2 linked regions of the Schizosaccharomyces pombe genome follow. Changing the gene in region 1 together with any one later gene gives a genetic interaction. Each region holds a gene or a part of one and is shown in the gene's direction. Other genes may lie near its edges.

Evidence for each region. Genes that interact genetically often act in the same process or in processes that back each other up.
Region 2: mutations in sap14 (region 1) and nup124 together harm fitness more than expected from each alone (negative genetic interaction), as found in Schizosaccharomyces pombe (one large-scale study listed by BioGRID).

Annotation. Positions count from the first base shown.
Region 1 is NC_003423.3:2,049,148-2,053,133, reverse strand, and holds sap14 (Pre-mRNA branch site p14-like protein), read left to right. Parts: upstream 1-2,365; 5' UTR 2,366-2,438; coding exon 2,439-2,682; exon of another isoform or gene 2,683-2,775; coding exon 2,776-2,876; 3' UTR 2,877-3,137; downstream 3,138-3,986.
Region 2 is NC_003424.3:1,110,236-1,116,826, forward strand, and holds nup124 (nucleoporin Nup124), read left to right. Parts: upstream 1-1,939; 5' UTR 1,940-1,978; coding exon 1,979-2,229; intron 2,230-2,272; coding exon 2,273-5,501; 3' UTR 5,502-5,633; downstream 5,634-6,591. Other genes in the region: AP-3 adaptor complex subunit Aps3, read right to left, coding at 1-58, 521-574, 617-883; ddx27 (putative ATP-dependent RNA helicase Ddx27/Drs1), read right to left, coding at 5,822-5,967, 6,012-6,132, 6,180-6,591. UniProt on the Schizosaccharomyces pombe protein: Nucleoporins may be involved in both binding and translocation of the proteins during nucleocytoplasmic transport. In S.pombe it is required for the nuclear localization of retrotransposon tf1.

The DNA of each region.
Region 1 (3,986 bases):
AGGATAGGTTTTACGAGTTCGAATGGGCAATCGCCAATATCATCGATGTCGTGCACATGCTTCTGCGCGACTTGGATGCACAAATCTTTTAAAGAATACATCGCTCATATGATAGTAATTTTTAAAAATTTCAAAGAAAACGATCGAATTAGAGCTCTATAGTCTTCAATTGGAAGAGTGCTTTTACCTTATTTGAATGTAAACAAAACCAATTCAACGGGGGAAAATGTGTTTCAAAGAAGGAAAGGTCCAGAATCTATCGATTAGCTAAATTCCTTTCCTTGTTAGTATATGCGTATAAAACGCGGAGAATCTAAGTGCGAGTAAAAAAAAATTCCAGATAATTGTTTGTTTCCGACAAGTTGAAAAAGACGGCGAAGCAAACCTATTTGTTCACTTATACAAATATATTAAAAAATAATTAAAATCTTTAATTTGTTAACTCGGTAAAATCGTTAAATTATCGCTAAATAAATTTATCGACCTTTATCAAATTTTCTTCATTCAATTTACGAGTTCTCAACCACCGTTTCGTTATAAATATTTGCGTATTCAACGTTAAAAACCGTAATTATCCTTCTTGCCTTTCCGGCCCAGTGGAAGTTCCAATGACGCCGCGGAAGGGCTGCACACCTCAGTAGCGAATATGGGGAAAGAGCAAATTCATGCTTGCCACGATGACTACCTGGATGCTTGATGTAGGTGACGTGTTACTTAAGATGAAAATGTAAATACAAGAGAAGAAATGGGTCAAGAAGGCGATTAATGGATGAAAAGAGAAATTATTCATAGAAAAATTTTTCCTTAAATATGCGCTTTTATTAATCTTTCGTTTAGGTTTTTTTCTCTCGTAAATTAATTCAGATATAGGTATTTAATCAACATTGCCAATTTCAACAAGTTTTAGGGGTTACGTGCAATAGTTTTATTGTTCTATTGTTTTTTAATTCTTCTCTCAATCCTAACTCTTGAAATTTTGTCGTACAAGACATTTTTCGCATTTCGTCAAGTTAAATTTTATGTTAAACTAGAGTTATTTGCGAATTAGGCTAATGAGCAGAAACCACTTGAATATACAAAATTTTATTTATTTATTTATTTATTTATTTTTTTTAAAAAAAGAGTAAATGGTAATTAATCTACTAGAAGCGTAAAAAGAATTGTTCAATACTTCAAAAAGAAAAATATGTATATCATATATCAAACCAGATTAGCAATCAATGCCAATAGCTTTATTCATTGAAAAAATAAAAAAAATAAAGAACGGTTATAGATGAGTCAATTAATTTCGTACTTTAACGTTAGTTGGTTTATTTCGTTTTTGTACAACATTATTTACTTTTTTAAATACTTAGTTCCTGCTTATCATAATGAATATAGCTAGCTTCATTAGTTAAAATTATTAGTATAGTTTTCGAAATTGTAAACGCTACTATAGTTTCTTTTTTCTGTAATTTCCTAAATTGCTTCAAAACAGCATTTGCAATGCAGCACATTCTCAATTAAGAGCAGTTGTAAGCAAAGAGCAATGAGAAATCTTTCAAATTAGATAAAATGAAGTACAGTAAGATCCACATATTCAACAAAGCTATCCTTTCCCTTTAGTGTCTCTGTTGCTATCACTTATATACGAAAGCATGGCATTGGAAGCGTAAAATGAATCATTAATTTTGCAGATGTAGTTTTCTGGGATCAGGAAATAAAAAATTTAAGAAATTTCAAAAGAACTTGAGAAGAAATTGATGAACTAGTTGGTCTGTAGGCAAAAGATCAATGATACCAAATTGTTTCCTTGATAAAAGTCCCATTGCCAAACAAGAGTATAAGTTAAAAGAAAGTAAAGAAATAAGGAAAAATATAAATTGATGATACAACTATACTATCAAACTATTCTTTGCAATTGTCAGTTTTAAAGTTGAAACCTATTTCCTGTAGGATAGACAAACGAGGAAGCAAAAAATACCAATAAAAATGTTTATGATTTTCAACTAGTTATGTATAATTTGAAAATCACTTTAAATTGACTCTCTATTGAAATCACCGCCATGTCAGTTTCAACTCTGATCAAAGATCTCATGAACTAAGGATTGCATTTGACATTTGGAGTTACCAGGTAAAAGAAGAGGAAAATTTTGGTAAAAGGTTGAACCGTTTTGTCTACGATCTGTTGGTCCATTCGATTTCCCAGCATATACCTCTTCTTGTCCAAACCACGAAACGTAACCTTTAATATTCATGTCTCAATCTTTTCTACTATAATTAAACTCACGTATAGGATTGACTATACAACATCAATCTCCAAGCTGTGATAACGAGTATTTTCCATCTGATCCCAACCAACCTTTTAGGAATATTTATCCTTTCCAAAGCAAACCAAATCATTTCTTTTCGAAATTTGATTTTTTTAACAAAAAGTGTTAAGATCGTAAAAATAACAAATGCCTCCATCTACAGTTAATCAAGAAGTCAATTCTATCCTATTCATCAAGAACTTGTCTTTTAAAATTACAGCAGAAGAGATGTACGATCTTTTTGGTAGGTATGGTCCTGTACGACAAATAAGGCTGGGGAATACGGTTCAAACAAGAGGTACTGCATTTGTGGTTTATGAAAACGTTCAAGACGCTCGTCGAGCTTGCGAAAAGCTTTCTGGCTACAACTTCATGGATAGATACTTGGTTGGTACGTTATCTTAGGGAATGTATTAGCTACTATTAATTTTAATTTCTCCTTTCTAACGGCTTTTTAATATCTTCTTGTTAACTTTTTTTTTAGTGCATTATTATAACCCTGAAAGAGCTAAGGTTGATGGTCAAGATTTGGCAGCAAGGTATGCCGCCTTGGAACAAGTTAAGCAAAAATACGGTGTTCAGTGAACGTTTACTATTTATTTACCAAAAAAAAACAAACAAATTAGGAGTCTGATATTGACTCCATTAACGTGTAATAGATTTCCTCTTTCTATAAATTCTGTTGAAGAGAACATACAGCAGAAAAATGAATCGGCTCATATTAAACAATCGTTTACTAGTGTTTCGAACCTAGGTATAAAAAAGGTACTATAAGGACTTGAATTTTATTATATTTCGCTTAAAGCTTTTTAGTAATAATAATGTAATGCATTGATCTATAATATAACAACGTCTACATGTAGTATTAAGATTTGAATCCCTAATAAAACGTATCCAAATTTGCCCAACCGTATTTCCCAATTAATAATTTTATCTGGCACAAACTTCAAATCATAATGAGCTAGTTTCCAAAGTCCAACCCTTCCAGCTTCATTACCAACACATAACTCACCACCCTTACCAAAAGCTAGGCATGTAACTCTGCCTAAAGGCGTAGCGCTGGTGGGCCAATTACGGAACACACTAAAGCTGGGAACATGAACGAGTCGTAGAGTATCCTTCTTTCCTCGAGATGCGATAGCTAAAACTTGACTATCTTGAGAAAAGCTCATACTATTTATGCTGAAAGTAATATTATCCAATGTAGTGACAGGTTTTGGTGCAGCGTCCGCATTGGATGTCTGGAGGTCATATATATTAACAATACCACTCTTGCTACCAATTGCCAAATACTTATTAGATGGGTCCAAACAAAAATGAGTGGTAGATACACCATCTTGAACTTGCCAACGACGAACGACTGAACGTTGCTCAACATTAAAATGCCATACCTCCGCACCATAACTAAGCACCAACATTTCCGACCCGTCAGAAGTGAACAAAACGTCGGAAAGTACACCTTCAATTTTAAAGCTTGTAGCAAACTGACCAGTAAGAGCATGCAGTAAATTTATATGGCCAGATCTTCCTTCCAAAGCAATGTACTTCCCAGTTGGATCTACGTGAAACCTTTCCATACTTGGCTGAAAGTTCTCTTGTCCATACATACGACTAACTTTTTGAACTTGGGCAGACTCCAAATCCCAAATGTACATGTATTTTCTCCGACCAGCAGCTATTACTCGTTTACCATCC
Region 2 (6,591 bases), on another chromosome or scaffold:
CAAGACCACCAGATACTACCTCAGCAAGAATAGCATGTATTTCTTGGAATTTAAAAACCTATATTGTGTTAGATCTTTCTAATTCGCTTTCAAACAGATGGCTTTCAACTCTTCTAATTATTTCTTCCTTCAATATCCTTTTTTTTTGGCGTATACACTTGTATTTGGATAATTATTACTAACACCTCCTCTTTTTTTTCATTGGAGATTGCGAATCATCGACAATGAGACTCTACTTCCAGTTCTATGCATAATTTCTTTCTTGAAGGCGATGAGAAGTAAAGGAATTAGGAATTAAACTCTTGTAGTTCCTAAGTTCAATAAATGATAAAAATAAATGTTATGCTCTTTTGATAATCGAATATTGGACAAACATTAATGTTTCTTGTAAGGCCAAATTTCCAAACATTCGAAACCAAATAAGAAAAAAACAAATTAAATAAAAAAAAACGGAATCAATGGTTTCAAACATATAGCAGTAGGATAATGGGAAGATAAACGAGTAGTGAAATGTACTTACCAAATCAAGCTCGCAAACATTATTAAAGCATCGATCTAATGCTTCAACAAATACCTTTAATAGTTAGAAATTGGAAAGTAACTAATTTCAACTTACTTGAATGAGATCGAGAATTCCTAGTTCACTTTCACCTTCATCTACTACAAAAACGAAGTAGAGAGTAGCGTACTGGCGATAAATTATTCTATTTTTACCTGCAATTAAATTACTTTCCAAAAAATTACAAGCGGTTGGGGGCCTAGTGGATACAGCTGCATATATATCTCCTATTAACTTTTGTTGAATGGATTCATCAATTGGAGTGTAAAACTTTGTGAGACGAGGTTTCCCTTTATTGTTAAATATAAAAACAGCGTAAATCATGACAATAGAAAGGGAAAGCTGGCAGAACCCAAATATGCAGTGCTTGGTAAACGGCAAGCTGAAGTTTAAGTTGAATATACGTTAATAGTAGTTTGGAAGAACCAGGATCGACAAATTTCTTTCAATGCCTTAGTTAATTTGCTATATTTAAGATTTTCATGGTTTTATATTTATTGAGTATATTATTTATCCACTATTGAACCAAAGATCTGTTACTGAAATTCATAATGTCTAGTAAACAATTTTTGCCATGCCTTCAATGATCTCTATAACGAACTACTTTGTATACAATTTAGGAATAGAAAAATAGGAAAAAACATTTGTCTTCCACCAATTTTTGAATTGATGGTTATGAAATATTCAAATAGCTACATAGTATGTGACATCTCAGTAATAAGTAGACACATACTAATAGTTATATGAGGTGATCCCACTATTCAGTTACTATAGGTATATATTGGTAGCTTTTTTTTGATTAATATACTAATTAAGTGAATATTTGCATAATATGATTAGCAATGAACGCTGCCTTGCTATATGGGAGGCACTTGTTTTAATCAACACTACTATAGATGATAGTAAAGCGAAATTCCAATTACGTACGATTAGACAGTACGTGCCTAAGTGTTTTTCTATGAAAATAGAACTAATCATTTCTTCATACAATGTAAGCTGATTTAAACGGAAGAATTTAAGTATTGCAAGTAAGTTGCTAGAATATTAGACAGCCTAAAACTTGATAAAGCGAATATTGACGAAGCTAAGGCTCGTGGACTACTGTTGCAATCACCACTTTACTGGTAACGAGATTAAATAGAATTTGATATCCCATTTTTTTAAACCGAAAACAAATTGTATTAACATATTCCATCTTGCTTAACACCTTCAAATAACTCCCTTTCTTCTCGTATTAAACATTTTTACGAAACGTGTTACAATAGTCGTACAGTTCCTACGACTACGATATTGGCATATAACAAATAGCGCTACCAGACAATCAATAAGTCATTAGCATGAAAAATAATTGCCACGTAACTAAACTCGCTACTTCTCATTAACCAACGTCTTCTAGTAGTTGTCGATGAGTTTGTATTGATGCCTCCTGTTTCAAAAAATACTCGCACTTCATCAAAGACTGTTAAGAAACCCTATGACCCACCTCAGGGGAGCTCAAGGCCCTTTTTTACGGTCTTGAAACGGGCATTTTCATCTGTTTTGCACCCATTCACCAGTGGTCTAGACGAGAAAGCTTCAGGAACGGCTAGCAAGGATAGAAAGAGTGGAAGAGCAGGTACAAAAAGCCTGCTTACTCCAGAGTTAACACCTCATTATTTAGGAAAATCTCCGTAAGTTGACATTTTTGTCGTGAAACATATTAACATTAAATAGAAGAATTATTCGCGTTAGTAATCGGAGCCATGTTAGAACAATTGATGGAATAGAGGAAAAAGTTCATACGAATACATTTGAACCTAGGAAGCCAAAGCAAAAGCAAGATTATACTAATTCCCCAACGCTTTTTAAACGCCATGACGAGTTGTCGTTAAAATCACTTAATTCGCTTCATCCTTCTTCTGCTTTATCCAAAAAGTTGGGCAGCACTTCTCAACATCAAATTGCAACTCCCAAATCCTCTGCTTCATTGCTCAATATCCTTCGGTCACTTCACGATGAGCAGAAAAATACCTTAAATATATCAAGTGTAAAACAAGATCGTATTACCGAAGCTAATCCTACTTGTGAGAAGCGCAAGCCTTCTAGAAGTCCCAGTCCTATGCTTTCCAAAAAGAAATCTGTTGCTCGTGCCTCTGAAAACGAGCCCTCAGCTAAGCAGAACAAAAGCTTTTCTGGAAATGATTCCCATAAGAGTCTTACCGACATTAGAGATAAGGAGAATGGCGAAACAGAGGTCTCAGCAAAAAATCACGTTCCTCACCGCTCCTCTCGGCGACGTCGTAGACACCAGCGGCTTATCCCTATCATTTATGAAACTCTTGAACAGATGGATTTAAGGAAGCCTGTATTAGTCAATGCAGAAGTTCAGACAGATTCCAACCCCGGTAATACAATGTTTATTGATAAGCAAGATATTTATCACCGGTTAAGTACACCCACTTCGCGTAAGCGTCAGACTCTCGAGAAAGGTCATATTAAGGCTTTTTCTGCAGTTGATGAGGATTTGGATGAAATCTTTGCTTGCGAAGATGACGTTCATTACACCGCATTACCCAAACAAAATCCAAAATCTGAGCGTATATTAGAACCTATAATAGCATCTCCCAAGGATAATACAAGTGACAAGGGTTTATTGACGAAGTCCGCCCCTACCTTTGAAGAGCTTCAAGCCTCTATTACCCCTAAGCCTGTAAAGACTTCTCCGAATGATACGGCACTTACTCTCGCGAACGCTGAGGATAATAAAACCTTTGAACATCAGCCATTGTCAAAGGATACAGAAGCGCCCAAAAGCCAATTTTCCTCATCGCCGACAAAAGAATCTACAACTAGAAAGTCCGAAGTTGAACCGCCATCACCTTCTAAGGAAATCAAATCTTCTCACTTTTCAGTACCCGAATTTAAGTTTGAACCGAAGACTGAAGCTACCACGGACAAAAAATTAAATGTACCCAAATTTGAGTTTAAGCCAACTGCTACTGCTGATGTGCAAACTAATCGTTTGAAGGAGAATGAGCCCAAGCCAACGTTCTTTGCACAATTACCGTCAAAGACTCAAGAGACGCCAAGTATAACTGAGAACAAGCCTTCATTTTTTTCTCAATTAAGTCCAAAACGAGAAGAAACAGAAAAGAAGGACAACGCTCCGTCTGCTCCTGCTTCAACTTCTGGTTTCAGCTTTGGAGGATTCGCACCTAAAACCCTTGAAGAGAAGGAAGAAACGAAAGCTCCTACGTTCAATTTCTCTTTAAACAATGCTTCTAGTACACAAGACACAACAAAACCTACGCTACAATTTAATTTTGGAAGTAGTTTTGGAAAGCCAACAAGCAATATTTTCAATGACAAAAAAACTTCTGAAAATGGTCTAGCTAGTTCTACTGTTGCTTCTGAGTCAAAACCGTCAGCTCCCGAATCAAAACCGTCCTCGGGTTTTGGAAATACCGCAGGCTCATCACCCTTTTCATTCAATTTGACCAAGGAGTCCAAAGAAGTCCCACCTACAAATTCCTTTTCTTTTGCTAAAAAAGGGAAAGATGAAGCGAATGACAGTTTGTCAGCTAAAGCTTCTACTCCATTTTCGTTTGCAAAACCTAATACTGAAAATGTAACAACAACTGCTCCTCAGTTTTCATTTAATTTTACCAAGCCAAATACGGATGCCAAAACCAATTTGCTACCTGAAAAAACTTTTAATGAAGAAGCCGTAAAGCAAAAGGAAACTGAAAAAGAGGTCCCTCCAACAGGTCCAAAAGCTTCTGAAATAAAGGATTCAGTATCTTCTAATAACGCTGTGCCCTCTTCAACCTTTAATTTTGTATCTCCCTTTGCTGCTGTATCTGAAAAAACAAATGAGAATAACATTCCTAACGATACAACGAAGACGAATGGCAATGCTACTAAGAGAACTTTGGAACAAACGGAGGATGCAAAGCCTTTTGCTTTCTCCTTCGGTTCCACTACAGAACAGGCAAACAAAAAAGCCTCAACGTCAAATGAAACTACGAAGCCTCAATTGGATACATCTTCTAAAACTGATGGAGTAACTGCTAATGCGCCGTTTAGTTTTGCATCAGCTTTTAATGCACCTAAACCCTCGACTAATACTGCTGATGGCAAAGATTCTGCTTCGAATCTTACCACTCCTTCACCTGCTTTTTCATTTGGAAACAATAGTGGTGTTAAAGCATCCAGTAACAACAATCCCTCTACAAATTCGTCTACGGCACCGTTTTCTTTTGGTACATCAAATAAACCGGCATTTAGCTTTGGGTCTGCAACTTCAAAGACTACCTCTGAAGGAACCGCTCCAGCTGCTTCTGCTTCTGCTCCTGCTCCCACTACGTCTGCATTTTCTTTTGGAGCATCAAATTCTAGTATGAATAAGGAAGAGAACACTCCCATGGCTAAGGATGCTGGAGATACGGCACCTGCGTCTGGCTTTAAGTCTGGGTTTTCGTTCGGTGCTAACAATTCGCCTCAGCCTGCTTCTATGTTTGGTACATCGACGCCGGCCCCGTCTTCCGCGTTTGCGTTTGGCAACCAGTCAGGCACGAACCCAGCAGCTCCTGCAGGGTTTGGAGGGATTACTAATACTGCCACTAATAACCCTCCTAGTACAGGTTTTACATTCACTCCATCAAATGCTGGATCAACTGCGGCTCCTATGTTTGGCGCTGGAAACACTCCCAACCCATCCGGGTCCATCAATAATGCATCACAAGCATTCGCCTTCGGGTCAGGAGAACCTAGTAATCCAGCTAGTAATCCACCTAGTACCGGATTTTCGTTCGGTGCGGCTACTCCGTCTGCCTTTAATGCAAGTGCCTCACAATCACCAGCGCCCAATGGTATTCAATTCAATTTGGGCTCTTCTAACTCACAAACAAATGCGCCCCCGGGCCGTAAAATTGCTGTGCCCCGAAGTCGAAGAAAACGTTAAATTAATATTATGACATGTTGACAAGACAATATGACAAAACATTGCGGTTGGGTATATGATAGTTTAGATAGACTTTGTCCTTTAAATTAATTGCTAAGGAATAATTATTACATTTTTGTTTACACATACGGACGCTTTTATTCTTATTATATAAATTAAAGTACGAGCTTTTTGTAAAGGAGGTCTAACCAAGTTACCCATGAGACACAAAACCCAATTTCCATTATACATATGAAACCCTAATATAATCTAGTATCTAAAAAATTCAAAACCTAACCAAACACTTATCATTTGAAAATTTCTCCCTTTCACGTATTCACCTATTTGCGCTTAGATTTCGATTTTTTTGTAGACTTTTTGTTGCTAAGTCTATCATTCTTTGTCTTCTTGTATGCTCGGGGCACCTCTTCCTTTTCCATTTGCTTTTTTCTTTTAGCTAAAGACTTTTTATCTTTCGCTTCGGAGGCTATAATGTTAGCAAACATATTTTTTTATTTCAATGTCACATACCTTTAGAAGCTTGTTTATCTTTTTCGGATTGAAACCAGGTACGTGCTGGACGAGAACGAATTTCATCACCATATTTCATAATGTTTTCGCCTTTCTTTAAATCGCGTTCGGCAATTTTTAGCTACATTTGTTAGAAAAAAAATTTATATACTTATAAAAACAACATACTTCTCGTTCTTGTTTTTCTTCATCTAGCACTTTCTGAACAACAGGTTCCAATTCCTCAATTTCTTTACCAAACTTTTCAACTTTGTTAAAATCCAGATTACGGTTGACCAATTTTGTGTTTTGCGCTGAAGAATTTTTGAATACACCTTTAAGAACTTTGCGATCGCCCTCACCGGCTAATGTAATAGCTCTACCACTCCTGCCAGCACGAGCAGTACGACCAACACGATGAAGATAAACTTCGTGAGTAGCTGGAGCTTCGTAATTTATTACGACCTCAATGCCTTTGATATCAATACCACGAGATGCAACATCTGTAGCCAACAAATAGTTACATTTTCCATCACGAAAGTCTTCCAAAGCACGGACACGCTGTTCTTGCGACAATGAACCGTGGATTTCGGTAGCGTTT